Linked DNA regions of Macaca mulatta. The protein of the gene in region 1 purifies or fractionates together with the protein of each later gene. This does not show direct contact. Links are inferred from orthologs where the notes say so. Each region holds a gene or a part of one and is shown in the gene's direction. Other genes may lie near its edges. The genes, in order: SMARCA4, SS18L1, PRMT5, HNRNPC, CREB1, TOP2B and BAZ1B.

The links.
Region 2: the proteins of SMARCA4 (region 1) and SS18L1 purify together in Homo sapiens (affinity purification with mass spectrometry; 3 studies listed by BioGRID and IntAct, with this or other methods). This does not show direct contact. The link is inferred for Macaca mulatta from reciprocal best matches to the Homo sapiens genes SMARCA4 and SS18L1.
Region 3: the proteins of SMARCA4 (region 1) and PRMT5 purify together in Homo sapiens (affinity purification with western blotting; 3 studies listed by BioGRID, with this or other methods). This does not show direct contact. The link is inferred for Macaca mulatta from reciprocal best matches to the Homo sapiens genes SMARCA4 and PRMT5.
Region 4: the proteins of SMARCA4 (region 1) and HNRNPC purify together in Homo sapiens (affinity purification with western blotting; 3 studies listed by BioGRID, with this or other methods). This does not show direct contact. The link is inferred for Macaca mulatta from reciprocal best matches to the Homo sapiens genes SMARCA4 and HNRNPC.
Region 5: the proteins of SMARCA4 (region 1) and CREB1 purify together in Homo sapiens (affinity purification with western blotting; 3 studies listed by BioGRID, with this or other methods). This does not show direct contact. The link is inferred for Macaca mulatta from reciprocal best matches to the Homo sapiens genes SMARCA4 and CREB1.
Region 6: the proteins of SMARCA4 (region 1) and TOP2B fractionate together in Homo sapiens (co-fractionation; 3 studies listed by BioGRID, with this or other methods). This does not show direct contact. The link is inferred for Macaca mulatta from reciprocal best matches to the Homo sapiens genes SMARCA4 and TOP2B.
Region 7: the proteins of SMARCA4 (region 1) and BAZ1B fractionate together in Homo sapiens (co-fractionation; 3 studies listed by BioGRID, with this or other methods). This does not show direct contact. The link is inferred for Macaca mulatta from reciprocal best matches to the Homo sapiens genes SMARCA4 and BAZ1B.

What each region holds. Positions count from the first base shown.
Region 1 is NC_133424.1:11,723,546-11,727,298, forward strand, and holds part of SMARCA4 (SWI/SNF-related matrix-associated actin-dependent regulator of chromatin subfamily A member 4), read left to right. Parts: intron 1-316; exon of another isoform or gene 317-319; 5' UTR 320-347; coding exon 348-569; intron 570-1,474; coding exon 1,475-1,607; intron 1,608-2,386; coding exon 2,387-2,791; intron 2,792-3,114; coding exon 3,115-3,213; intron 3,214-3,753. UniProt on the Homo sapiens protein: ATPase involved in transcriptional activation and repression of select genes by chromatin remodeling (alteration of DNA-nucleosome topology).
Region 2 is NC_133415.1:114,967,622-114,971,298, forward strand, and holds the end of SS18L1 (calcium-responsive transactivator), read left to right. Parts: intron 1-1,032; coding exon 1,033-1,247; 3' UTR 1,248-3,021; downstream 3,022-3,677. UniProt on the Homo sapiens protein: Transcriptional activator which is required for calcium-dependent dendritic growth and branching in cortical neurons. Recruits CREB-binding protein (CREBBP) to nuclear bodies.
Region 3 is NC_133412.1:96,009,824-96,014,017, reverse strand, and holds the start of PRMT5 (protein arginine N-methyltransferase 5), read left to right. Parts: upstream 1-1,188; 5' UTR 1,189-1,212; coding exon of another isoform or gene 1,213-1,322; 5' UTR 1,323-1,348; coding exon 1,349-1,407; intron 1,408-1,955; coding exon 1,956-2,074; intron 2,075-2,359; coding exon 2,360-2,445; exon of another isoform or gene 2,446-2,527; intron 2,528-2,899; exon of another isoform or gene 2,900-2,930; coding exon 2,931-3,065; intron 3,066-3,756; coding exon 3,757-3,869; coding exon of another isoform or gene 3,870-3,889; intron 3,890-3,969; coding exon of another isoform or gene 3,970-4,003; coding exon 4,004-4,053; intron 4,054-4,194. UniProt on the Homo sapiens protein: Arginine methyltransferase that can both catalyze the formation of omega-N monomethylarginine (MMA) and symmetrical dimethylarginine (sDMA), with a preference for the formation of MMA.
Region 4 is NC_133412.1:94,116,529-94,120,870, reverse strand, and holds the start of HNRNPC (heterogeneous nuclear ribonucleoproteins C1/C2), read left to right. Parts: upstream 1-1,334; 5' UTR 1,335-1,506; intron 1,507-2,135; exon of another isoform or gene 2,136-2,181; intron 2,182-4,342. UniProt on the Homo sapiens protein: Binds pre-mRNA and nucleates the assembly of 40S hnRNP particles. Interacts with poly-U tracts in the 3'-UTR or 5'-UTR of mRNA and modulates the stability and the level of translation of bound mRNA molecules. Single HNRNPC tetramers bind 230-240 nucleotides.
Region 5 is NC_133417.1:112,842,628-112,846,380, forward strand, and holds part of CREB1 (cyclic AMP-responsive element-binding protein 1), read left to right. Parts: intron 1-241; coding exon 242-392; intron 393-3,753.
Region 6 is NC_133407.1:22,870,361-22,874,113, forward strand, and holds part of TOP2B (DNA topoisomerase 2-beta), read left to right. Parts: intron 1-878; coding exon 879-989; intron 990-3,753. UniProt on the Homo sapiens protein: Key decatenating enzyme that alters DNA topology by binding to two double-stranded DNA molecules, generating a double-stranded break in one of the strands, passing the intact strand through the broken strand, and religating the broken strand.
Region 7 is NC_133408.1:50,958,519-50,962,271, reverse strand, and holds part of BAZ1B (tyrosine-protein kinase BAZ1B), read left to right. Parts: intron 1-1,531; coding exon 1,532-3,233; intron 3,234-3,753. UniProt on the Homo sapiens protein: Atypical tyrosine-protein kinase that plays a central role in chromatin remodeling and acts as a transcription regulator. Involved in DNA damage response by phosphorylating 'Tyr-142' of histone H2AX (H2AXY142ph).

The sequences.
Region 1 (3,753 bases):
CTTTCTGTTAGGAAGATAAGCAAGTGGAGAGCAGTGTGAAGGGTAGACCAGCATCCCGGTGAGACATTCTCTGCCGTGATCAGGAATATGGCAGGAGACCCTGAAGGTCCCTGTGGGGCAGTGCTTGTCTGTGAGCGTGGCCCACCTGTGCCTGAGATGTTGCACTTCCTCTGAGAGTGGTCGTGAAGAAAAGGTTCAGGTGACTGGGGTGAAAGGTGCTGGCTTCCTGTCGGAAGGAGATTCTGATGTCCCTTGCTATCCCTGTCCTGCCTCACCCTGGGTCGTGAACCCCAGACTGACTGGGACTTTCTGCCAGCAGGAGGCCACTGTCTGCAGCTCCCGTGAAGATGTCCACTCCAGACCCACCCCTGGGCGGAACTCCTCGGCCGGGTCCTTCCCCGGGCCCTGGCCCTTCCCCTGGAGCCATGCTGGGCCCTAGCCCGGGTCCCTCACCGGGCTCCGCCCACAGCATGATGGGGCCCAGCCCGGGGCCGCCCTCAGCAGGACACCCCATCCCCACCCAGGGGCCTGGAGGGTACCCTCAGGACAACATGCACCAGATGCACAAGGTAGGGGCCCCTGCCCCCTAGGGCTGCAGGCAGCCTCTGGACCGAGGGCCTTACTCAGAGGACGGGGGGGAAGCCTTCTTGTTGGAGGTGGCATGCCTTGGCTCAGCCCCCTACGCCGGGGCCCATGGCCGTGAACAGAGGGGTCAGCTCGTCGGACTCCAGCCTGTGCTGGCACATGATCTGGGCCTGAGCAGCACATCGTGGCCCCTGCGGACACCTGCCCCACCGTTTCCGCTCCCTTGCTTTCTGCGTGGGAAATTTGGGAATATCACTCCAAAGTTTTCTTTTGGTAACGAAGAAAAACATCCAAATTACTAAAAAGGCTTTTAGCCACGTTGTTTCCCCCGTTCTGGCTGTCGAGCTCACCTGTGCCGCTCGCAGAGCCGAGCAGCGGGTGCCCTTTTCTCCAAGGCGCGCCCCTCAGCCACTCTCTTTACCACTCACCTGCGCTGAGCAGGACCTTCAGTCAGCGAGGCGGAGAAGCCTCTGTATGGTCACAAGTCTCTTGTGTGTGTCCCTGGGCATGGTTAGAGGACATATTCTCTTATACATACAACATCTGAAAGAAAAGGTCGTATTAGCATCCATAAGAAAAGTGATGTTTCTAAGTGTCGGGGCCACAGGAGGTCCTGGGTGGTGGAAGATGAGGATTGCCTGGCCACAGTCTCCCAGGTGCTCGTGCTCCACTGGGTGACATTTATTTTGTGTACCTGTCTTGAGGCCTAAGTAGGTGTCAGAACCCTGCCTTAGAGCCAAGCCGTGTAGTAACGCTGGGGACTGGGGAGATGCATGTTGTCATAGGTGGCCATTCTCAGTGCCCTCGAGCTTCTCTTGGGCAGCGCATAGCCGTGCCACCACCTCACGTTCCACATGCTCACCCTGCCTTGTCATGGTCCCTCTCGCAGCCCATGGAGTCCATGCACGAGAAGGGCATGTCGGACGACCCGCGCTACAACCAGATGAAAGGAATGGGGATGCGGTCAGGGGGCCACGCTGGGATGGGGCCCCCGCCCAGCCCCATGGACCAGCACTCCCAAGGTACCAAACTGCTTTCCTTCCTGTCTTGTGTTTGTCATACACCAGAGTCCTCAGATCATTTTCTTCCCCTGGGTTCCCACAGGATGGATTCCGGGAGTACCTAGGATGATTTAGCCAGGTGGGTGGCCTGCCACAGAGGGCTGTCTGGCGTGGCATGGCTGGTGCTCTGTTCTGGCCACCTCGTCTTGGAGCAGCCCCAGAAGGGGAAGTGCTGGTTGGGGGGCAGACCGTATTCAGCATGGGTGATAGAGGACGGCTGTGCAGGGCAGCAGCCCCATGCCACTGAGGAACTTACTGAAAATACAGATTCCTAGGGCCTGGGACTCTGCTTTAATGAGCCCAGCAGGTGCCTTTTCTGTACGAGGACAATTGAGAAGTGATATGGTGGGTGACTTGCCAAGTTCTTGCTGTCATCAGGGGTGGGAAGCTCAGGGGCTCCACTGGGAATGGAAATGTTGGGAGCGGGCCCAGCCAGCCCGAAGATGTGGACCCCACCTGTGGACAAGCAGGCGGAGGCCGGGAGAGAGCCGTGATTTCATGCACAGGTTCTCAGCATTAACCAGCAGCACCTTACTGAGACGTGGGTTAAACCAAATCCACCATGCCGGCTACTGGGCTGAGGTGTCTCCAGCGCGTGCCCTCCAGGTGCCCCTGATTGACTCAAGAAGGATGCCATTTGGTCGTGCCCTGTCTCAGAGTAGGAGCTGGTGTAGGGAAGAAGTTGTAAAAATCACAGACGTAGGCTGCCTAGTGACCAGTGGGCTGGCCTTTCTCTGCAGGTTACCCCTCGCCCCTGGGTGGCTCTGAGCATGCCTCTAGTCCAGTTCCAGCCAGTGGCCCGTCTTCAGGCCCCCAGATGTCTTCCGGACCAGGAGGGGCACCGCTGGATGGTGCTGACCCCCAGGCCTTGGGGCAGCAGAACCGGGGCCCAACCCCATTTAACCAGAACCAGCTGCACCAGCTCAGAGCTCAGATCATGGCCTACAAGATGCTGGCCAGGGGGCAGCCCCTCCCCGACCACCTGCAGATGGCGGTGCAGGGCAAGCGGCCAATGCCTGGGATGCAGCAGCAGATGCCAACGCTACCTCCACCCTCGGTGTCCGCAACAGGACCTGGCCCTGGCCCTGGCCCTGGCCCTGGCCCCGGTCCCGGCCCGGCACCTCCAAATTACAGCAGGCCTCATGGTAAGGCTGGCTGCCCTGGCCCTCAGGTGTCTCAGAGTGAATGGCTGGGGCGTGAGTGGAGGAGTGGACAGACTGGGCTCTGCTGCCAACTGGGTTCCCCGGTTTGGGATTGCACGGGCCCATGCTGCACTTCTGGGTGCTCGGGTGGTGGGGGCAGCTGTCCTGCTAAATGCTGTTTCCCCAGCTCCCTGCTTCCCCTGGGGGTGCTGGTTAATAGGTGTATCTGCTGTGTCCCCTGAAGCCAGGGCTGCCCACGGGGCTGGGCGCAGGCATAAACCTGGGGAGCACTATTTTCTCTTTTGTTTGTTTCTCCCTACGTGTAGGTATGGGAGGGCCCAACATGCCCCCCCCAGGACCCTCAGGCGTGCCCCCTGGGATGCCGGGCCAGCCTCCTGGAGGGCCTCCCAAGCCCTGGCCTGAAGGTGAGCTCCCTCTTCTATGGTGGTGCACCCATGCCCTGACTCCCCGTTGCAAGCTTGGGTGGCGCAGGCCTTGAGATGAGCCCTGGCAGGGAGGAAGGGCCAAGGTGGCCAGCCCGAACCGCAGCCTGCACTTTTCTTGTGGTGGTCCCCAGGTCTCCCCTGTAGCCAGTCAGTTCCCAATGACTGTCATTTTATCCCATCCCTCGTGGCCTTCACCCAGTCCCTGAGCCCTGTATATGTGGTTGCTCAGTAAGTGCTGCAGGCTCCCATCTGGTGGGCTCAAAGAGACAGTGGGACTCATTACCCACCCTCTTGGAGCCTGAGGTTTAGCGATGGGCATTGAAGGGCAAATTGCTTCCGTTGGATTTAGCACTGGGAGGAGACGACAGGAAATGCTGCTGTAGAGCCACAGACAGAACACTGAAGCCTCAGGGGTGTGGGGCTGGCCCCAGTGAAGGGTGTGAGGGACAAGGGTGAGGCTGAGATCTGGAGGAGGTTGGCGCCCAAGGCGGGTGTGAGGGACACCCCTAGGTGAGAGGT
Region 2 (3,677 bases), on another chromosome or scaffold:
GGGAGGCTGAGGCAGGAGGATTGCTTGAGCCCAGGAGTTCGAGACCAGCTTGGGTGACATAGTGAGATCATCTCTACAAAAAATACAAAAATTAGCAGGGCATGGTGGCACACTCCTGTGGTCTCAGCTACTTGGGAGGCTGAGGCAGGAGAATCGCTTGAGCCTGGGAGGTGGAGGTTGCGGTGAGTCAAGATCACACCACTGCACTTCAGCCTGGGCTGGGTGACAGAGTGTGACCCTGTCATTAAAAAAAAAAAAAAAGGCCGGGCGCGGTGGCTCAAGCCTGTAATCCCAGCACTTTGGGAGGCCGAGGTGGGCGGATCACGAGGTCAGGAGATCGAGACCATCCTGGCTAACACGGTGAAACCCCGTCTCTACTAAAAAATACAAAAAACTAGCCGGGCGAGGTGGCGGGCGCCTGTAGTCCCAACTACTCGGGAGGCTGAGGCAGGAGAATGGCGTAAACCCAGGAGGCGGAGCTTGCAGTGAGCTGAGATCCGGCCATTGCACTCCAGCCTGGGCGGCAGAGCGAGACTCCGTCTCAAAAAAAAAAAAGGCCTCTATCGTATCAGTTCTTTCCGGAGCCTTTGACTTAGGCTTCCTAGAGACGGTGCCTCTGTCTCACCTGCCTGCAGGTTTCCAGCAGCTCCTGTGATCATTAAGTTACAAGTTGCAGCAGCCAGTGTGACTGGTGCCAGTGGGTTCTGGAGGGCTCTCCTGCCCTCAGGTAGCAGCAGCTCGGGGGAGATGGAGAGAGCCCATCAGCCCTCCCCATGCTGGTGGGGGCCTGGGGCACCGTCCTGGGACCTCACAGGACTGGAGGGGCTGGGGAGTCGGTTGTGTGGTGCTCTCGCTGTTCAGAGTTAACGAGGAGCACGTGCAGGTGCCAGGCGTTCTGGAGATTGACAAAAGGCTGATGCATTGAGACAGGAATTTTTTAAGGAAAAGAGGAAGAAGCTTTTAGAAAATTTTTAAGTTAAAAAAAATAAAGATGCGCCCGTTTTGGCCTCACAGTTCCTGGTGTTTTCTCAGGGCCTGCCCAGGGAGCCCCGTCACAGTACCCCAGCTACCAGCAAGGCCAAGGCCAGCAGTACGGAAGCTACCGAGCACCGCAGACAGCGCCGTCTGCCCAGCAGCAGCGGCCCTACGGCTATGAACAGGCAAGCTTTCTGGATGTTTCCAGATGTGCCCATCCACCGCGCCTGTGGAGACATAATGAAGATTTCTCTTATGGCCGTGAGGAATAATGAGCTGGAACTAACTGGCTTCCAGGGTTCCTTCCAGAATGTTAAGTCTCTGAGCCTGTAAGGTTTTTCAGAATTACCTCTGTGTATATGCTCACCTCAGTCATCCAGCTGGCTTTTCATACCCTGAGCTCACCGTTAGATCTGCATGCCTGGTTCTCACATTCGTTCACTCTGCCAGTGTTTGTCGCGTACTGGGCACGTGTCCGGTCTCTGCTGGGTGCTTGGTGTGTGGCCGTGCCACGAACCCTGCGCTTTCAGAGCTTATTATCTCGCTACGGAGACATAAAGTTGTCCCATAGGCCAGACCGTGCTGAGATCAGAGTGGCGGGCCCCGAGTGGAGCCCGCCTTCCAGGTGGGGGCACAGGCGGCTGCATTTGGCCCCTGTGGACAATTCCAGGATGAAGACACAGCGGGGAGTGGCAGCCCCAGGCTCAGCCCAGGGAGGGGGAGCCCTTTCTGCCCAGGAACAGTGAGCAGGGCTTTGAAGGAGCTGAGGAAAGAGAAGCTTGGAAGATGGAAGAGCGGGAGCTCTTGGGACAGTGAGGAGGCCGGCTTGGCGGGAGGTGACAGGGACAGGTGGGCGTGGGGGCCTCCATAAAGCAGGCATCGCCTTCCCTCTGGAGGAGGACAGGGTCTGTGTGGCGGGAGCACTGCAGGAGCGAGGGCCTCCTAGAGGAGAATGAGCCAGGCACAGGAAGAGGGCGTGCCAAGGTCCTGAGGCACCGGGAGGTTTGTCCCAGTGAAGGCAGCCCGAAGGAGGCTCGGTAGCTGGAGCATGGGGCATACGAAGGAGAATGGTCTTGGACATTTTTTGGAGCCTCCTTTGAGAGAGTCCTTAGCAGGAAGTGGGTCTGTGTTGGTGAGTCTGAGCTGGCCAGAGGTGTTAGGGACACTTTACACCGCCAGTGAAATTTCAAAGCACTACGTCGATCAAGGTTGTTTTTCTCAGGGAACTGGGTAGGTAAGAGGCCGAATACTATTTTTTAAATGCTTCTCGTCCTCCTCCCTCAAGAGGGCAAAGGGTCACCAGGTAGATGTAGAGAAGCCTAAAGATCATGTAACACAGGCCCCCTGCCAGGGCACAGTACTCAGAAGGTCATGCCTGGGAAGGGCACGCCGATGAGGCATTTACACAGACGTTAGGAGTGCTCCTGGTGTGCTCTCAGGACACCGTGAGGCCACTGCAGCCGACGCCAGGGGCCGCCTCTCCCCAGTGTGTGCTGGGCGCCGGTCAGCGGGGAGCAGGCCCCAGCTTGGCCCTCTAGGCTTGCACAGGAGCGTCATGCTGGGGTCTGGAAGGACAGCAGTCTGCATCCAAATTAGAATTAATGATTCTGACGAGACACTATACCTCCTTCATACAGTCCTGAAAATAACTTACTTGGATTTTGTGAAATAAGTGAATGTCCTAACTTAATTATAAGACTGAACCAGAGGACATATAACTTTATGCCTACCTATGAAAGGACCGTGACTGGTTGTGGTGGCCCATACCTGTAATTCCAGCACTTTGGGAGGCCAAGGCAGGAGGATTGCTAGAGCCCAGGAGTTTGAGACCAGCCTGGGCAACATAGCGAGACCTGTCTCTACAAAAAATAAAAAAAGTAGTCGGGCATGGTGGTGCATACCTATAATCCCAGCTACTTGGAAAGCTGAGGCAGGAGGATCCCTTGAGCCCAGGAGTTCGAGGCTGTAGTGAGCCGTGACTGCACCATTGCACTCCAGCCTGGACTATAGAGAGCAAGACTTTGTCTTAAAACAACGAAAAAGAAAGGCCAGGTATGGTGGCTTACACCTGTAATCCCAGCACTTTGGGAAGCTGAGGCTGGTAGATCACCTGCAGTCAGGAGTTCGAGACCAGCCTGGCCAGCATGGTAAAACCCCATCTCTGCTAAAAATACAAAAATTAGCAGGGTGCCTGTAAGCCCAGCTACTCGGGAAGCTGAGGTGGGAGAATCGCTTGAACTGGGAAGGCAGAGGTGAGCTGAGATCGCGCCACTGCACTCCCGCCTGAGTGACAGAGCGAGACTCCATCTCAAAACAAAGAAAAGAAAAGACACAAAGCAATGGAGAAGACAGAGAATTCCACATTTAGGGGGAAATGTGTCCATCTAACTGCAGAATATTAACATAACATAGTCTTTAGTCAGAATCAAGTGTAACTGGCCATGGCGTTTTGGCACAGCACTGCCGGCGTTGGGCGTCTCCTAGGGGCCGTCGTGCACACGGTGTTATGTTTGCAGCATCCCTGGCCTCCACCCACGATGCCAGTAGCACCCCCGTTGCCCAGTCTGACAATTTAAAATGGCTCCAGACATTGCCAGATGCCCCCCAGGGCAAAATTGTCTCCATATGAGAACCACTGGGCTACACTTAAAAATGTGCTGAGGTGGCCAGGCACAGTGGCTCACGCCTATAATCCCAGCATT
Region 3 (4,194 bases), on another chromosome or scaffold:
TAGACGTTCAATTCAGCATGACTAAACCCAAACCCTGATTTCCCAAACCCTCTTCGCATTTCTCGCTCACTGCAGGGACAGAATCCTAGGCATCACCCCGACTGCTTTCTCAGGACTCCCTGCCAGTCGGTCCCTAAGTTCTGCCAGCAGCGCCTGCGTGGGGCCTCTTGTACCGTGTTCTCCTCTCCATCCTTGTTGCCGAGCTGCCTCAACACCAGTGGGCCCCCTGCCTTCAGAAGTTCCCATTTCCCTCCCCTATGTCTTTCCTTGCTTCCTTCCTTTCCATCTCTCTAGCAGCTATTGACATGGGAAAATGTAGATTCTCTCTGGCCTCCACGCCAGCCAGTTTCATGACTGCTGCCCACTGTAATTCATGAATTCCTTTTCTCTATCTTGAAGTGTGTGTGTGTGTGTGTGTGTGTGTGTGTGTGTGTGTTTAGGCGTTTATTCAAACCTTTTGTGTTTGAAACACAAAACACTACTTCCTAGAATCACTAGGAAGTAGCTGAGTTAGCAGTTTATTTTAATATGTAACATAATAAGGTGACAAAGCCCATTTTAATAGCACCAGCCATTAACCCAGTTTTCTCAATGTTCATATGGACGTAAATAATGACACAAGGAAAACACTTTTGAAGGTAGTTATGGGAAAAGCTGACATTAGATGGCTGCAGAACCCAACCAACTTAGGACCTGAAAATGAAAGCGTTAAGATAATAAAGAAGCTTCAAACGACGAAAGGTAAGGAAAATCAGAAAATGCTCATAAAGTAAAATTGTGAACAGCCCCACCGAGCCAGCCAGGAGTCGAACCTGGAATCTTCTGATCCGTAGTCAGACGCGTTATCCATTGCGCCACTGGCCCTGAGACGAAAGTGATTTTCTCCGTGATCCTCCTTCAAGGTTGTACTGCAGGGTTTCATGGGAGGTGTAGTCTCATAGCGGAGTTCTGCAGATACACTAAGCATTCTGGGAGATTGAAGTTCGTCTGAAACCAGACTCTGAGATTGGTGGATCTTCAGGAGCCTCGCCGTACGCCACTGCGCAGCCCGCGGATTGGCGGGAAAAGCCACTCCCCATCCCTCCCGTTCGGGAGCTGTGGCAGACGCTCTGGTTGTTAAGGCGACTCGTCCCGCCTCCTGGGTCTCTAGTTTGGCTTTGTGATTGGCTACTAGTATCAAGGAATCCCGGCATGGACAGCGCGAGGAAAAAGATGGCGGCGATGGCGGTCGGGGGTGCTGGTGGGAGCCGCGTGTCCAGCGGGAGGGACCTGAATTGCGTCCCCGAAATAGCTGACACACTAGGGGCTGTGGCCAAGCAGGGGTGAGGGCCGGACCTCCACGAGCGGAATGCGGGGTCTGAACTCGGGGACGGAGAAGGGCAGACTAGTCATCCCGGAGAAACTGGGGTGAGGGGGTCGGCTAAGATGAGAAGGGGAGAGACTATTACTCTTTGGAGGGGAGAAGCCTCGGACCCAGTAACGTGAGGAAGAGAACTTGTGGGGGGCCTGTGGTCACTGAGTCCCAAAGTTGGGAGAGTTGTTGAGTAAACTCTAAAGGGCTCTGGAGGTCGCGATTATTGTCTGGGAGTGGGAGGAGGTGTTAGGGGGCAAGGGAGAGAAGAGGCTAATCTTGACAGGGGAGGCACGGGCAGAACTGGGGCAAATCTGGATGTGATGGTCTTCGAAACATAGTGACACCTGAGGAGAAAAAAATTCTACTTGTGGATTTCCATCGTTTTCTCCTTACTCATATTTCCCATGGCTGTGTTTTGGGGAGAAACTGAGGCACAGTACAGCAGAGATATCCCCCAAGGTGGTCTGAACTCAGCAGCCTAGTAGGGTGAACTGATGGCAGCTGAAAGGGCTGTGCAAAATCAAAATAGCCTAAATCCAGTTGCTTGGCTTTCTGGCACTGCTGCTCTCTTTACATGATTCTGGGTCTGTCGCGGTTGTAGGTTTGATTTCCTCTGCATGCCTGTCTTCCATCCGCGTTTCAAGAGGGAGTTCATTCAGGAACCTGCTAAGAATCGGCCCGGCCCCCAGACACGATCAGACCTACTGCTGTCAGGAAGGGGTAGGGACCATCCCATATGCCCCTTAATTATTAGAGGCAATAACAACTTCTGCTTTATCGGGGCCCCGATTCTTCTCCTTTTCTGACTTGGATATATTTGTTAGTCCCTGGGATATAGATAACTTGTTTTCTCCTTGCTTCTCTATTCTGCATCAGGCTATCCCATGTCTATGTAGAAAAAACCTTTGTCTCTCATTTCTACTCTTGATTCCCAAAACTAAAAATTGAACAAGTAAAGTGCTGAACCTTATTCAGTATTTGTCTCTCTTGGGTGGGGGAGTGCAGACTGGAATACGCTAATTGTGGGAAAGCTTTCTCCATGGATTCGTCCAGACTCAAAAGTGGAGAAGATTCGCAGGAACTCCGAGGCGGTAAGACTCTTTGACTTCTATGCTGGATCTTTCTAACCAAGCTGGGTAGGGAGAGTGGTCCCCTCCCACCCCCAATAACTTGGTAAATCAACTGATACAATGAAATTAAAGCTATTAGGCTGGACCCCATGGTGCACACCTATGATCCTATCACTTTGGGAGGCTGAGGTTGTAGGATCACTGGAGCTCAGGAGTTTGAGACCAGCCTGGGCAGCATAGTGAAACCCCATCTCTATAAAATATACAAAAATTAGCCAGGCATGGTGGCACATTCCTGTGGTCCCAGCTACTCAGGAGGCTGAGGTGGGAGGATCAGTTGAGCTTGGGAAGGTTGAGGCTGCAGATGAGTGGAGATTGTGCCACTGTACTCCAGCCTGGGTGACAGAGTGAGACTTTGTCTCAAAAAAAAAAAAAAAAAAGAAAAGAAAAGAAAAGAAAGCTATTTGCTTGTTAGCTCAACCTTTTCCTCTTCATCTCCATTCCAGGCCATGTTACAGGAGCTGAATTTTGGTGCATATTTGGGTCTTCCAGCTTTCCTGCTGCCCCTTAATCAGGAAGATAACACCAACCTGGCCAGAGTTTTGACCAACCACATCCACACTGGCCATCACTCTTCTATGGTATAGCTGAGGGGCTCCTTTCCTGCTGCATATCATAGTAGTCAGATTGTGCTAAGTACCTTCTTGTGCCTAGCCATTCAGTGAAGGGTGTGTTTGGCAGAATTGAAGTATCAGTATTGCCGGGCACAGTGGCTCATGCCTGTAATCCCAGCACTTTGGGAGGCTGAGGTGGGCAGATCGCTGAGCTCAGAAGTTCGAGACCAGCTTGGGAAGCCTGGTGAAACCCTGTCTCTACAAAAACCAAAACCAAAACAAAAAAACACAGATTAGCTAGGTGTGGTGTCACACGCCTGTAGTCCCAGCTACTTGGGAAGCTGAGGTGGGAGAATGACTTGAACCTGTGAGACGGAGGTTGCAGTTAGCTGAGATTGCACCACTGCACTCCAGCCTGGGTGACAGAGCCAGACCTTGTCTCAAAAAAAAGGTCAATATTGCGCACCTCTCCATCTAAAAGTGGTATGAAGAGAGTTTCAAAACATGCAAATGTAATTATTTCGGAAACTTACGTAAGATAAGGCAGATATTTACATAAGGATCTATACATAAGGTACATGTTCACTTACAAAATCACAAATTGGGAAAAGCATATAAAGGGATTAGCGAGGTCTGAATGAAGTTTTTGATTGAGGGAAACTTTCTGGACCGAGTGAGTTCAAAAGGGTGTTCTAAAAGGGTGACTGTTCATGTGCAGTTCTGGATGCGGGTACCCTTGGTGGCACCAGAGGACCTGAGAGATGATATAATTGAGAATGCACCAACTACACACACAGAGGAGTACAGTGGGGAGGAGAAAACATGGATGTGGTATGTCTCCCTTTGCTGCTGTGATAGGGTGAGGGGAAGTACAGGGTGAAACCTATAGGGAGGTCTCCTTGAGCTATGGTGATTGGTCGGCCGTATCTAGTTGACTGTACTTTTCTGTATTTGACTCTGAACAGGTGGCACAACTTCCGGACTTTGTGTGACTATAGTAAGAGGATTGCAGTGGGTGAGTCCATGAGAATCCTGGGTTGGGTGTTGCTTCTCTGACCTCCTGTGAATAAGATTCAGGAATTTTGTATATAGTATACAATTTTACTACTTACCCTCTGTCTCAGACTGCCTTTCTCTTAAAGAGGTAAACAGATTT
Region 4 (4,342 bases), on another chromosome or scaffold:
GACGGGCGGATCACGAGGTCAGGAGATCGAGACCATCCTGGCTAACACGGTGAAACCCCGTCTCTACTAAAAAATACAAAAAAAAAACTAGCCGGGCGAGGTGGCGGGCGCCTGTAGTCCCGGCTACTCGGGAGGCTGAGGCAGGAGAATGGCGGGAACCCGGGAGGCGGAGCTTGCAGTGAGCTGAGATCCGGCCACAGCACTCCAGCCTGGGTGACAGAGCGAGACTCCGTCTCAAAAAAAAAAAAAAAAAAAAAAAAAAAAAGGAGCAGCGATAGGACACCGCGGCCGCCAATCAACCTCAACTGGAGGCAGTTGCACTCCAGCCTGGGCGACAGTGACTCTGCCTCAAAAAAAAAAAAGAAAAGAAAAGAAAAAAGAAAAAAAAAAAAAAAAGAAATGGCTCCCTTAGTAGAGCTGATGCTAATCCACTGTGTGCGCAGTTCCTATAATGTAACCAGAAGGACTGGCAGGTGACGGGGGTACGTAGGAGACAAGCCATTTTAAGAGGAGGGAAATTAAGGGAGCAGATTCGGAGGGATGGGCCAATTTTACTGGCACTTAAGATATTAGTGAGATGACTTGGGCCAGAGGCCGGGATTTTGCACTTCATTTACTTTTCATATTGGAGAGGAATAAGGAAGTCAGTTGGTTTGGATGGAATATGTGTTGTCTGAAGAAGGGTTTAATAGGCTGAGAAGCAGAGATGTCTACGAGGTAGCTGACATTCGAATCTGGACCTGAGAAAGGCTCTCGGGTTGGAAAAACGGCAGGGCTGGTTAGTTTTCTACACACTTTAACACGGCCTAGTCACCGCTGCTCCCTCCTCATTTTAAGTAAAGTTCTTTCTTTATTCATATTGCACGCCGGAGGCTTCATTTCGCGCTTTTTTTCTCCTAGGCCCGGGGCTAGGGCAAGTCCTTTGCGCCCGTCACCTAACAACGCCCCTCAAGCCCTTCCCCGCCCCCGCGCCGCCGGAAATCCGAGGTCTGAGCGAACCTTTTACTAGGCACTCTAAGGAGCAGCGATAGGACACCGCGGCCGCCAATCAGGCCTTCCAGATACCCGGATGTGAGACGGTGCGCGATACAAAGGCGAGTTTCCACCCAGAGGGTCGTCCGGTGCAATAGCCAATAAACATTCCCCAGACGATAAATGACAGGAAAATTAACCAGTTACAAACTAGTTTCTCTCACGCATGTGGAAATTCTTCTGCTTAGTCTAACCCACTGCCAATTGTGACTGGATATCATTGTGAGAAGCGGTTGAACTGTCTAATTAGGAGCGGGAGCGAAAAAACACACAGCCAATAGGAAGATTCTTAGGGATGGGGCGGGGACTAGGCCTTCGCCTCGGCGGCAGAGGAGACTCGGGGGCCATTTTGTGAAGAGACGAAGACTGAGCGGTTGTGGCCGCGCTGCCGACCTCGACCTGCAGTCGGTTTCTTCACGCCGAATCCGGGAGTAGGAGACTCAGAATCGAATCTCTTCTCCCTCCCCCCTCCTGGTAAGTGGAGAGGGCGGACGCAGGGAAGGCGCTGGGTTTTTTGGGAAGCTAGAGGGGGTGTGGGAGAGAATATGAGGGAACCCTTCCCCCTAACTAACCGGGCCCTCATTTATTCTGTTTGTTTTGGGGGATTAGGTCTGAAGCGGGAGGCGGTTTTACAGGCCTCAGCCTCTGCGTAGGTTTAACCTGGTGTCCTCTGGGCCACGATCGCCAGGGAAAATGCCCTTTTTTCGCTCTTCCTGTGTTAACGGCTGCTTTCCTTTCATTTTCTACGACCGCGAGGACTCCGGGATCCTGAAAATGAAGATCGCGATGTTCATTAATATAGTCGAAGTTAACATAGCGCCGATGCCTTCTATTACCTCGGTTCTTCTTACATGTAAAAATTGGGGGAGGGGGAGGGGGAAGGTTACCAAGTAGATGTATCGCGAGCCTTTAAATCCTGGATCGTGCCGCGTGGCCTATGAGAAAGGTTTAACAAAAGATTTAGCATTTTACTGATAACTTTTTATTTTATTCCTCTCTATGAGCAAATAATGGAGCTCGAAGTAGTTATTTTCACTTACGTTTGTAAAAGGAAATATTGTGTATAACTATATTAATAATTACAGCTGACTTTTCATCTGCAGGTTACAAAACACTTGAAATATATAAGTTAGTGGAACTTTGCTTGAGGTAGGTATTAACTCTCTTTCTCAGACAGAAACTGAGGCAAAGTGTTGATTGCTAGGGTCATAATTAAGTCAGTAGCAGAACTACTAAGGAATTTGACCACGAGGTCAGTCGAGTGGTTTTTACCTGGTTAATGGAATACCGGGTTCTAAAAGTACAATATTTGAATCTTTGCAAGAACCTGATGACGGAAACCACGAGGTAACTGGAAATTCCCAAATTGCGCTTAAGAAAAATACTACGAGACTTGAGAATTTGTTGTTAACGTAACTTCCTAAGTGTAAGATGACAAAATTTGACTTTCGGGTTATTCTGATGTTAATTTTCCCGTCCACCTAAACTTGGGCAAAAATTCACAGCTACATTTTATTAAGCAAATATTAACAGTGCTGTTATTTGCTCGGTGCTGAAATTTGATAAAAAACTTGTAAGTTAAAGTTACAGATCTTTAGTGTCACGTTCACTTATCTGGGAAATCGGTTTTTTAAATCCTCACATGAGATTTGGTTATTTTTTACAATCTGTTAATTTCACAAAAACTAAAGCTGTTAAGCACAGTTTAAACCAATTCTGCCGGGTAAGAAATTTATCTGTAAGGCAACCTATTTGATAGGAAGTAAAATAAGGGTCAAAAACATCGCGACCCCTTTAAGTTTAAATATATTATTACAGGAACTTAAAACTAAAGTTTATCATCGTGCTAAACTGTTAGAAATGAGGTAAAGGCAAAAATAGATTAATGGGGAAATCATGTAGTAAAAATGTTGGCAATGAGAAATGTCAGAAGTTAGTATTTAAGAACAGTTGATAATAGCTGAAATTGATTGACAGGCACTTTTCTTTGCCTTTGAGGTGTTAGAAATACGGGTTCCTTCCGATCAGTATGTATATCAGATCAGTATGTATATCAGCGTACCAAAAATTCTTTAATATCAAGAACTGTTTGCCACGGCATTTATATCACAATTCCAGGTGTGTTCTCAACTGGATAGGCATTTAGTAACATTTTCGTATTGGCTAGCGTATTGGCTAGGGGGAAAAGTTGAAGGATGGCCAGGTTGCAGGTTTTCTGACCTTTTTTTCCCCCCATTCGTGTGCCACTCTTGGGAATACTTGGTAGTTGATGTTCCTTCTGTGGAGAATTTAAACAGCTTACGTTTGTAATTAAATCTCTTAGAGGATTTGACATGGCATTCGACCTTGTTTTGGATGGAATGGCAGTGCGACACAAAGAATAAACTCAAATAGCTAGTTGCTCTAATTTTAAAGACTAAGGGGCAAATTATTAAAACTTAATATTAAGTGTTGAATGTGAGGTGTTGAATAGGGAGTAAGTTTGCCTAGGAGGAGAAATAGATTTTAATCCTCCTTGCTTAAATAAGAGGACTTAGACTTTTTTTTTTTTAACTTATTTGAATTTTTAGTTTCTAATTCAAATTTTTCGTTGCCAGAAGACTAAAAACTGTACAGATGCAGTCTTTTTAAAGCAGTTTTTTTTTTTTTTTTTTTTTTGAGACGGAGTCTCACTGTTGCCCCAGGCTGGAGTGCAGTGGCACAATCTCGGTTCACTGCAGCCTCTGCCTCCCGGGTTTGAGCGATTCTCCTGCCTCAGCTTCCCAAGTAGCTGGGATTACAGGCGTGCGCCACCACGCCGGGCTGATTTTTATATTTTTAGTAGAGACGGGGTTTCACCGTGTTGGTCAGGCTGGTCTCACTTCTGAGATCAGGCAATCCTCGTGCCTCCGCCTCCCAAAATGCTGGTATTACGCAGGTGTGAGCCACGGCACCCGGCCCCAGTTTTCTAAATTAGTAGTAGTTACTACTATTCTTAACCACATTATTTCAGTCTTCAAATAATTAGTAGTTGTCTCTGGGGAGCATTATTTGCTCTTAATATGCATATTCTTGTATTCTCATTGGAAATGGGAAGCTTTTGGTTTTGTGTATACTACATTTACTAGAGGATTGGTGAGAACTAGAAAGTTGAGGTGTGGCATAACTACAGGTTTTCTCGATATTGAAAAATTTGGATTTATTAACGTAAGAAATTTTGGTTTCTTAACCAAAGAAAATTTATTTTTCTTTAGTTAATAAGAAAATCTTACAAGAAAATTTGGTTTCTTAACCAAAGGAAAGAGGTTTCTTTGGTACATTTACTGTGATA
Region 5 (3,753 bases), on another chromosome or scaffold:
AATGAAAAATAAAATACAAGATCCAGCAGACATAGGTTACTGTAATAAATACATTACATTGGGAATTATTTCTTAGTAGTGGCGCAAAGAGTGCTGATTCTTTCAACACTTTAGCCAGAATCATCTTTTCTTTTTTGTTTCCCTTTTAGTCCAGAATACATGCTTAGATTGATGATTGATACACATAATTGAATCAAGTTGCAGTGTTTCTGTCTTACACCATAATCACTGTTTCTTTCAGCTGCCTCTGGAGATGTACAGACATACCAGATTCGCACAGCACCCACTAGCACTATTGCCCCTGGAGTTGTTATGGCATCCTCCCCAGCACTTCCTACACAGCCTGCTGAAGAAGCAGCACGAAAGAGAGAGGTTCGTCTAATGAAGAACAGGTACATATACTGCATTTACTTAGATTGTTGTGGGTTAAGTGTGTCTTCACTTTCTACTGGATGTGTATCTTTACATCTACTGGTAATAGGATCTTTGCATTGGGTTTTTTTTTTCCCAGCAGAATTAATGGATCTTGTAAACTTTATTTAATGAGCTGCATTTATAAGATAGCTATAGGATTATGGGTCAATCTTTGATCATGGAGTAGTTTTCTTTCATGCAGTTTCCCCACAGGAGATTTAATGCACAACCTTCCTATGTTTGCACTCCAGCCAGCTTGCCAGGTTATTTCAAAATGGTTTCTTTTCATATATAGTATTGTTCAAGAAGATCAAGAGTTTCACATATGTATATTAACTGTGTGTTAAATTTTATCTATATTAAATTTACTTGATACAAAGTAAATGTATGGTGGCCAGTTCATGTTTTAATGAATAATATCTTTACTCAAAATAATAACATTTTAACACCTAAAGATTCTTCAAAAATATATTCTAAGAATACCACATTATGGAAAAAAATCTTAAAATACAGTCTTCAAAAACTACTACCTTCAAAATCTACGAAATGTTGGTAAAGCAGTTCTCAGAAAGTAACTTCATTGCTATAAATGATTTTGCCATCAAAAACAATAAAAACAAGTTACTAAATATTAGTTTAGAACTTTCATATAGAAGTGACCGAGACAAACAGAAGAAAATGAAAATAGGGTATGTAAAGTTTTAAAAAGTTTGAAATTGATGAAAGTATTTCACTGTTCATCCCAGGATACTTCAAACACTGATAAAGTGAAAGAAGCAGGGCTTCCAAGTCCTAGCCCTGTCCCTCCATTTTGGGAGACAGTATTAACTTTCTATACCTCAGGTTTGCAAAATGGGATTCCAGCACACACCCAAGTATTGTTTTAAGAGTCAAGTAAGATAATTCCTTTGAAAGCACTTTGTAACTGTAGTGCTCTGTTGAAATGGGTGTGTGTGTGTGTCTGTGTGTGTGCAATTTCACTTACAGCTCAGATCAGCTTTTTTGTTCCTAAAATATTCTTAGCTGTCACAATGTTAGTAAATTATATCTGAACTCAGAGAAAAATCTGTCTGGCAGAGATTTTTCTCTGATATTAGAAAAAGAGTTACAACAAGCCAAGTGACTGTTTTTTTTTTTTTTTCCTCCTGAGACAATCTTGCTCTGTCGCCCAGGCTGGAGTACAGTGGCACAATCTCAGCTCACTACAACCTCTGCCTCCTGGGTTCGAGCAGTTCTCCTACCTCAGCCTCCCGAATAGCTAGGATTACAGGCGCCCACCACCACGCCTGGCTAATTTTTGTATTAGTAGAGACATGATTTCACTATTTTGGCCAGGCTGCTCTTGAACTCTTGACCTCATGAATCCACCCTTCTCAGCCTTCCAAAGTGCTGGGATTACAGGCATAAGCCATGGTGCCCAGCCCTCAAGTGACTTTTATTTGTGTTCCATCCGTCTGTGATTTTGAGTATTTAGGTTTTACTAAACAGAAGCATAAAGGCTGCATTCATAATTTAAATATATTTTAAAATATAAATTAAAATCTGTAAATAAAAATTAAAATCTTTTCAGTTTTTAAAAATGTTTATAAGGAAACTCTTTTTTGTTGTTGTTGTTGTTTTGAGACGGAGTCTCGCTCTGTCACCCAGGCTGGAGTACAGTGGCCGGATCTCAGCTCGCTGCAAGCTCCGCCTCCCGGGTTTACGCCATTCCACTGCCTCAGCCTCCCGAGTAGCTGGGACTACAGGCGCCCGCCACCTCGCCCGGCTAATTTTTTGTATTTTTAGTAGAGACGGGGTTTCACCGTGTTAGCCCGGATGGTCTCGATCTGCTGACCTCGTTATCCGCCCGTCTCGGCCTCCCAAAGTGCTGGGATTACAGGCTTGAGCCACCGTGCCCGGCCGGTTATAAGGAAACTCTTAACTTAAAATTAGAAGCAAGTCTGATTAAGAAGTCTCAAGCAAAGGCTGAGTAGTAATATTTAAGACAACACTGCTTACTAAAGAAAACAGTTCTAAGCAAACATAGGAGCAAAATCAGAAAATAAATCCTTTTGATTATAAAACACAACAGAAGGACTTCTGTTTATGTCTATGTAGTTTGGCTCTGTGGAACAAAATGTTTCCCCCCGTTGGCCGGGTGCAGTGGCTCACGCCTGTAATCCCAGCACTTTGGGAGGCCGAAGCGGGCGGATCACAAGATCAGGAGATCGAGACCATCCTAGCTAACATGGTGAAACCCCATCTCTACTAAATACAAAAAAATTAGCCGGGCGTGGTGGCAGGCGCCTGTAGTCCCAGCTACTCTGGAGGCTGAGGCAGGAGAATGGCGTGAACCCAGGAGGCAGAGCTTGCAGTGAGCCGAGATCGGGCGCCTGCACTCCAGCCTGGGCGACAGAGCAAGACTCCATCTCAAAAAAAAAAAAAAAAAAAAAAAAAAGTTTCACTGCGTTGACTGGCAGACCAAATTTCCTTTTTCTTCTATTTATTTTTCTTTCAGATTTAGGACCACTGCCACCAACAAGTTAGGAACAGGCCACACGTAACTACAGTTGCTACCAGCCTTTGCTTGCCTGAGACTTACCATGGACTCTTTCATAACATTACTTCGCTTAGATGTAGTTACCCTACTCTTGAAAAAGGAAACTTCCTATTGATTCTGCTATAGTTCTTTTCCCCTTTCCTTACCAGATTACTGCTGCTTCTACTTTTTCAGCCTCCATTCACTGGAATCTGGCTTCTGTGACTAGCATACCCCTCATATGTCTATAAAAAGGTACAAATTCCCTCCCACTTGGCAAATCTAGTATTTTCTTTCATTTAATTTTAACTCTATGGAGTATGACACTTTCGACTTCTCATTACTCTAAACTCTTCCTTGGCTGGCTTCACCTGGTTTTCTGACTACTTTTCAAATTTTTCCTTTGAACCTTCATCCATATCCATGTATTTCAGGCATTACTTTATATGCTGATACCTCCTAATTCTATATATTCTGGCTTTGACCTTTCTGCCGAGTGCTATTTATTAAGCCCCAGTATATATTATTTTATTAATTCTACCTACAGTGAGGTAGAAGCTTATCCACACTTTAGAGGAGGAGAAGGTAAATATCAGAGATAAATCAAATATATTGCCAAAAGTCACACACTTTATGAGATTAGTAGAACTGAAATTTGAACCCATATCTGGCACCAAAGGCTGTAAACATGCTACTTCACTGATTCCAGTATGCAGCCATCTTCTGCTGTGCCTCTCAAACCAGAGCACATGGCAGTATGCTAGGGATGTGTATGTAGCCTTAGGGGGTGAATGTGGAGTGCTTTCCTTGAATGTTCATTT
Region 6 (3,753 bases), on another chromosome or scaffold:
AAATTTGATTTTCATGGCAATGTGAATGTATATACTACAGTTTTCTAAATCTGTAAGGGCACCAGTATGATTGCAGATTGGTTTTACTAAACCCTAGTTACCTGAGAGATCAAAACCTTCATAAGAACAAATTTAATTGGTGTATATACTTTTTGTTTCCTATATTTTTTTTGTATGGAATTTTTAAGGTTATTTAATTTATTCACGGTCATTTTTTAATACACACATCTATACATTTAGACATATTTGGTACATGTTCCATATGTATAGATACTCATTTTTGACAGTGTGTCAAAAGAGTTGTATAAACATATTTATTTACATCCAAGTAGCTATTTTAAAAGTTTGTGCTATGGTGTTAGGGAAGAACGGATTGATTAAACTAATTTGCATGCAAAAGTAAACTGAAGGTAAGCCTGTCTGCCTTTTGAATTAGTCTTCAATAATTTATTTTAAAATAGGAATACTTACTATTCTTTTAGATGTAAACATTGTTACTGATATTCCTGAAATGGTTAATAGTATTATTTATGTAGGTACTAAAATAATCCAGTGGAACATTTTCATATCTCATTTTAAAATAAATTGTCAGCATGTATTTTTGAATTGGTCAGTTATGTTTTAAATATTTAACATTTAGTACTTTTAATTTTTACTACTTTATGCACTTCTGTGTTATTTCACCACAGAGTTAACATTTTTGGTGTATAACTGATATGTTTTATTTTCTGCTGTTTGTATATTGTGGATTATCTGGTCACATAATAGTAACATAAGATCAATTGTCTAGCTAAAGAGAAGTCATCAGTTAAGAGTCAAAGTTTACTGAGAGATCTTTATAATATCTCTTTACTAAAAGAAGGCTTTGCAATTTTTAGATTCAGCTAAATTTGACAGTAATGAAGAAGATTCTGCTTCTGTTTTCTCACCATCATTTGGTCTGAAACAGATAGATAAAGTTCCAAGTAAAACAGTAGCTGCTAAAAAGGGTATGTACTTATATTTGATTGAGTTAAGCATTGCATAGAGATAGTTAATGTAAAAGGAAATGTAACTTAATTTCAAACTATTTGCATTTTTTATCATAAAACAATTAAGAACTATAAGTGCTTACAAGGAGAACCTCTCTTGTTTTCTAACCATGTGAGGCAATTAATAAAATTCTAACCATGTGAGGGAATTAATAAAATTTCTTTAAGACTTCATTTTAAAGCTGTTGTAATTATAAAATAATCCCATACATTGATATCTAAAGATAGCTTTCTAGAAAAGCTCCCTTGTGGTTAGGTTGTAATGGAGATTAAAATTTTGTCTTGCTAGTAGCCTGCTTCTGTTATCTTTGTTGATCATTACTCAACTCCTTATGTGGAGGGATTGATCAGTTCAGTGGAGGTCCTCTTTTTCTATGTGAGTCATGCAGCTTCTCTCTTTTTCATAGCCTTAGATTGGCCACAAAACACTTTGAGTTGATTAATGGATCTCTTACTAGTACCAAGATATATGTACCTTGGTCTTTCTGAAAGGGGTCAGTATTTGTGCTTTGTGTTTGAAGGATGATACTTAAAAAAAAACCCCACAAATCTAATTGAGATGTGTGCTACTTAAGATAGCAAGTAAATAATATGGATTGTTCCCTCAAGGATTTTAAAAATTCACAACAGACAACCTCATTACAGTCACACATGTATTGAATGTAGTAGAACAATTTTGGAAAGTCCTGCTTACTCTGACTGCACTAGAACCATATTGAGAAATTGGTTATGTACAAGAGTCTCTGTAGCCAACACACTGAGTGACCTACTCATGTCCCAGTGCCCTTACCACTTAGTGCACATTGGGCAATGTCTGCATTCTTTGCCTGAGGACTTCCTCTTTGCCACTGTGCTGGAATATTAATGCTCCCCTGCTCCCAGCTGCCTTTAACTAGTGGATTGAGGAAAGTTGTTCTGTAAATATCTCAGTGTCCTTGCCTCTCATGTGAGCCAACTGTGAGATGTGTGTTTCACACTGGCTCTCAAAAATTTCTCGTGGAATTAAGCTCCTAGAGTGATGATTGGCTTGATAACTTACCCATTACTGGCTGCCTTCTCTTCGTTGTCTCATTTTTGTCTCCCTTTCCTTTACCTCTCAAATAAATACTTATACTTAAATCCTTACTCTAGGATTAGGCAGATTGGCCCAAATCTGGGGAACCCAAATTGAGATAGACCCTCTAATTTCTCTTTTTTTTAAAAAAAACAGTCAGGCTGGGTGCAGTGGCTCATACCTGTAACCCTAGAACTTTGGGAGGTCGAGGCAGGGAGATCACTTGAGTTCAGGAGTTTGAGACCAGCCTGGCCAACATGGCGAAACCCCATCTCTACTAAAAATACAAAAATTAGCCTGGTGTGGTGGCACGTGCATGCCTGTAGTCCCAGCTACTCAGGAAGCTGAGGCACAAGAATCGCTTGAACTCGGGAGGCAGAGGTTGCAGTGAGCTGAGATGGCAACACTGCACTCCAGCTGGGACGGTAGAGTGAGACTCCATCTCAAATAACAGAACAATCAAAAAACATCTTTTTAAAATAATCTTCATATGAGCATCTTATAAACACCCTGAAAACTTAGGAGCCATATTACTTATTGAAACATACCCCGTTTCCTTCATAGAACTGTTCACCCATATTGAACCTAATGAGTTTAGCATGACTAAAAGGCTAGAATATCATGGCACCTATTCTACTTGCTTCCTTCTTTAATAGCTGAACTGGCCTTGTCTAAGTTGAATAGGTGACTGCCTGTGTGGTGTGATTTCAGGGACCCCAGCAAGTCCTCGACCTTCCTCTAGTCTCCCTTACAAAATACAATTCCAATTAAAATATCATTTCAAGAAGAGGATGCATGACATCCCTCTGTGGGATTGTCTGCGTTAACTCCAAATTGCATATATTATACAAGTTAAATTCTGTAGTTTACAGCAGAAAGGCAGCTGTAGTACTCAGATATCTGACCTGTTTGCCTGGTAAATTGAAAGTGCCATGTAACTCCAAGCAAAGGAAAAAAAGTGGTTCCTAGAACACCTGGCTGAGTTTATACTCCCTGCCGGGAGCTGCCCTGTGGTTCTTGTGGTAGATATAGTCATGAAAAACCACACAATATGGGTGCCACTTTCCTAGGGCTCCTCCTGCTCTTGGCTCATGATCTTGATCTTGGCTCACAGCAACCTCCCTTGCCTGGGTTAAAGCGATTCCCCTACCTCATCCTCCCAAGTAGCTGGGACTACAGGCGCACGCTACCTCATTGGGCTAATTTTTTGTATTTTTAGTAGAGATGGGGTTTCACCATGTTGGGTAGGCTGGTCTCAAACTCCTGACTCCAGGTAATCTGCCTGCCTTGGCCTCCCAAAGTGCTGGGATTACAGGTGTGAGCCATTGCAACTGGCCTGATTTATCAGTTTTCACATAGAACTGCAGATAAAGCTGTAAAACAAGGTCTATTTTTCAAAATTCAACAAAGCAAAGGCCTTGTATCTATTGTCTACTTATCTAGGACTTTATATTTCTTTCCATATAAAAATGCCAACTCTGGATTTCAGCTTTTGAATGGAAGTGAGTTGGTTTCTATTCATTGTATTTGAGGATCCCATACATTTTTTTTTTCTCTAAAACATTCTAAAAGGACTTGATCTGTGGTTATACTTGGGTTATAATTAATTTATCAAATATGCTACTCTTTTGTCATGACTATATTTAAAAGTTACTGCTTAATTTATTT
Region 7 (3,753 bases), on another chromosome or scaffold:
GCCTCCCAAAGTGCTGGGATTACAGGCGTGAGTCACCGCGCCTGGCTGAGACCCCTCGCTTTTATTGTATCTATTATTTTAGCCATGTTTAAGCTGAACATATGCAGGGCAGGAGTAAATAGAGTTAATCAATCAGGGTTATGGCTTTTCCAAGTAGAATAAGAGAGACAAGGGAACTATAGGTTTATGTGAGATTAATTATCATGATTGACTAAAATTTAATCTGGGTAAAGCAAGACATGGGGGTTAGGGTGGTGAAAATGTAATAAAATTAATGGGTTTAAGGTTCTGGTGAGATTGAAGGACTGTAGAGTTGCGGGACTAGAGGGAGTGGATTTGGAAGATAAGAGGGTATGTTCAAAGGAGAATGGTGTGAAATTGGTGATGGGAATGAATTCTCTTTTTTTTTTTTTGAGACGGGGGTCTTGCTCTGTCCTCCAGGCTGGAGTGCAGTGACGTGATCCTGACTCACTGCAACCTCCTCCTCCTGGGTTCAAGTGATCTCGAGCCTCAGCCTCCTGCGTAGCTGGGGTGACAGGCATGCGCCACTACACCTGGCTAATTTTTGCATTTTTGGTAGAGACAGGATTTCACCATGTTGGCCAGGCTGGTCTCCAACTCCTGACCTCAAGTGATCCACCTGCCTTGGCCTCCCAGAGTGCTGGGATTACGGGCGTGAGCCACCGCGCCCACCAGAATGTGTTCTTAAAAGTGTGGGGTGGCCAAGTAATGTGGCATGGTGGCGCATGCCTGTAATCCCAGCTACTCAGGAGGCTGAGGCAGGAGAATCACTTGAACCTGGGAGGCGGAGGTAGTGGTTAGCCGAGATCGCGCCATTGTATTCCAGCCTGGGCAAAAAGAGCGAAACTCCGTCTCAAAAAAAAAAAAAACTGTGGGGTGAGAACAAAGGGGAGTTTGAGGCCCAGGTCAGGAGGTGTCTTTATCTGTGAGCAGTGTTCATGTTCTTACACTAATTGTTGCTTTTATCAGAAAATGTGCCTTAGAGTTTAGACAAAAGTACTTTAAGCAGTATCATTTCTGCTTAAAAGCGTAAAATGCCCTGAATAGTAACCAACAGTGAAAGGATGAAAATTCATTCTTGTTTCAAGAACAGTGCATTTTAAACTTTTCAGATACTGCCATTTTGTAGATCATATATCCTTAATCTGGGGTCCATGGATGGATTCTCTGAAATTGTATGCGTAGTTTTTGTCTAATATTTCTGGTGGAGGGGTTCACAGATTTTGTTTAAATATTTAAGAACCATTAATATATATAAACAGAGAACTAGTTACATAGCAGAAATGTCTAATATTAAGTCTGGATGTCAAGGGAATTTTGTGTTGACATAGTAAAAAACCTTAGCTAACGTTCATGTCTTTGCTTTTTTCAGGGCCAAAGTATCTATGAAGAGATATGAATATGTAGCTTTACCTGAATAGCTGGGGAAGAGGGCCTTTAAGATGCTTAAATGTTGCTTAAGTTAGTTTTAGATTTTAAAATTAATTTTGCTCCTATTCTTAAATTCTAGTATATGACTCTCAACCCTTCTACTAAGAGGAAGAATACTGGATCCCCAGACAGGAAGCCCTCAAAGAAATCCAAGACAGACAACTCTTCTCTTAGTTCACCACTAAATCCTAAGTTATGGTGTCACGTACACTTGAAGAAGTCGTTGAGTGGCTCGCCACTCAAAGTGAAGAACTCAAAGAATTCCAAATCTCCTGAAGAACATCTAGAAGAAATGATGAAGATGATGTCGCCCAATAAGCTGCACGCTAACTTTCACATTCCTAAAAAAGGCCCACCTGCCAAGAAACCAGGAAAGCACAGTGACAAGCCTTTGAAGGCAAAGGGCAGAAGCAAAGGCATCCTGAATGGACAGAAATCCACAGGGAATTCCAAATCTCCCAAAAAGGGACTGAAGACTCCTAAAACCAAAATGAAGCAGATGACTCTGTTGGATATGGCCAAAGGTACACAGAAGATGACGCGAACCCCACGGAATTCTGGGAGTACACCTAGGTCCTCTAGTAAACCTCATAAACATCTGCCTCCTGCAGCCCTACACCTCATTGCCTACTACAAAGAAAATAAAGACAGGGAGGACAAGAGGAGCGCCCTGTCCTGTGTTATCTCCAAAACAGCTCGTCTTCTGTCTAGTGAAGATAGAGCTCGTCTCCCAGAAGAATTGCGAAGTCTTGTTCAAAAACGCTATGAACTTCTAGAGCACAAAAAGAGGTGGGCTTCTATGTCTGAAGAGCAACGGAAAGAATATTTGAAAAAGAAACGGGAGGAACTGAAAAAGAAGTTGAAGGAAAAAGCCAAAGAACGAAGAGAGAAAGAAATGCTTGAGAGATTAGAAAAACAGAAGCGGTATGAGGACCAAGAGTTAACTGGCAAAAACCTTCCACCATTCAGATTGGTGGATACCCCTGAAGGGCTGCCCAACACGCTGTTTGGGGATGTGGCCATGGTGGTGGAATTCTTGAGCTGTTATTCTGGGCTACTTTTACCAGATGCTCAGTATCCTATTACTGCTGTGTCCCTTATGGAAGCCTTGAGTGCAGATAAGGGTGGCTTTTTATACCTTAATAGGGTGTTGGTCATCCTCTTACAGACCCTACTACAAGATGAGATAGCAGAAGACTATGGTGAATTGGGAATGAAGCTGTCGGAAATCCCCTTGACTCTGCATTCTGTTTCAGAGCTGGTGCGGCTCTGCTTGCGTAGATGTGATGTTCAGGAGGAAAGCGAGGGCTCAGACACAGATGACAATAAAGATTCAGCTGCATTTGAGGATAATGAGGTACGAGATGAGTTCCTAGAAAAGCTGGAGACCTCTGAATTTTTTGAGCTGACGTCAGAAGAGAAGTTACAGATCTTGACAGCACTGTGCCACCGGATCCTCATGACATACTCTGTGCAAGACCACATGGAGACCAGGCAGCAGATGTCTGCAGAGTTGTGGAAGGAGCGGCTTGCTGTGTTGAAGGAAGAAAATGATAAGAAGAGAGCAGAGAAACAGAAACGGAAAGAAATGGAAGCCAAAAATAAAGAAAATGGAAAAGTGGAGAATGGGTTAGGCAAAACTGATAGGAAAAAAGAAATTGTGAAGTTTGAGCCCCAAGTAGATACAGAAGCTGAAGACATGATTAGTGCTGTGAAGAGCAGAAGGTTGCTTGCCATTCAAGCTAAGAAGGAACGGGAAATCCAGGAAAGAGAAATGAAAGGTAAAATTTCATGCTGAGAGAAAAGGGGAAACTCTGTAGAAGATAGTAAAAGAAAGGAAATTATTGAGGTAATGGTAGGGTCTCTGTTTACTTATTTCTGTATGTAATAACCTGGCACCTATTGGTATGTATTTTACTTTTTATTCTATTGATAATTTCATATTAGCTGGAGTGTTCAGCCTGGCATTCTGATTAGTTAATAAGTTAGTGTGATGTTGGCATCTTTTCTGGGTTCAATAAAGGACCAAATCTACACATAAGCATAGTGGAAACAACATAGGACTCGGGAGTTGACTGACCTGGGTTCAGATCCTAGCTCTGACTTAGCTGTACAATGTTCCTTTGGGCAAGTTACTTACCTGTGCCTCACTTTCCTCATATGCTTGATAAGATTGTTGTAAAATTGGTTGACAGGATATTTGAAGCCCCTAGCACAGTCACCAACTCAGATTGTCCTTTAAGTTGTCCTTTAAGTAATCTGTCCTTTAAGATTTAAGAACTTAAAAATTTTGGGCTTTGA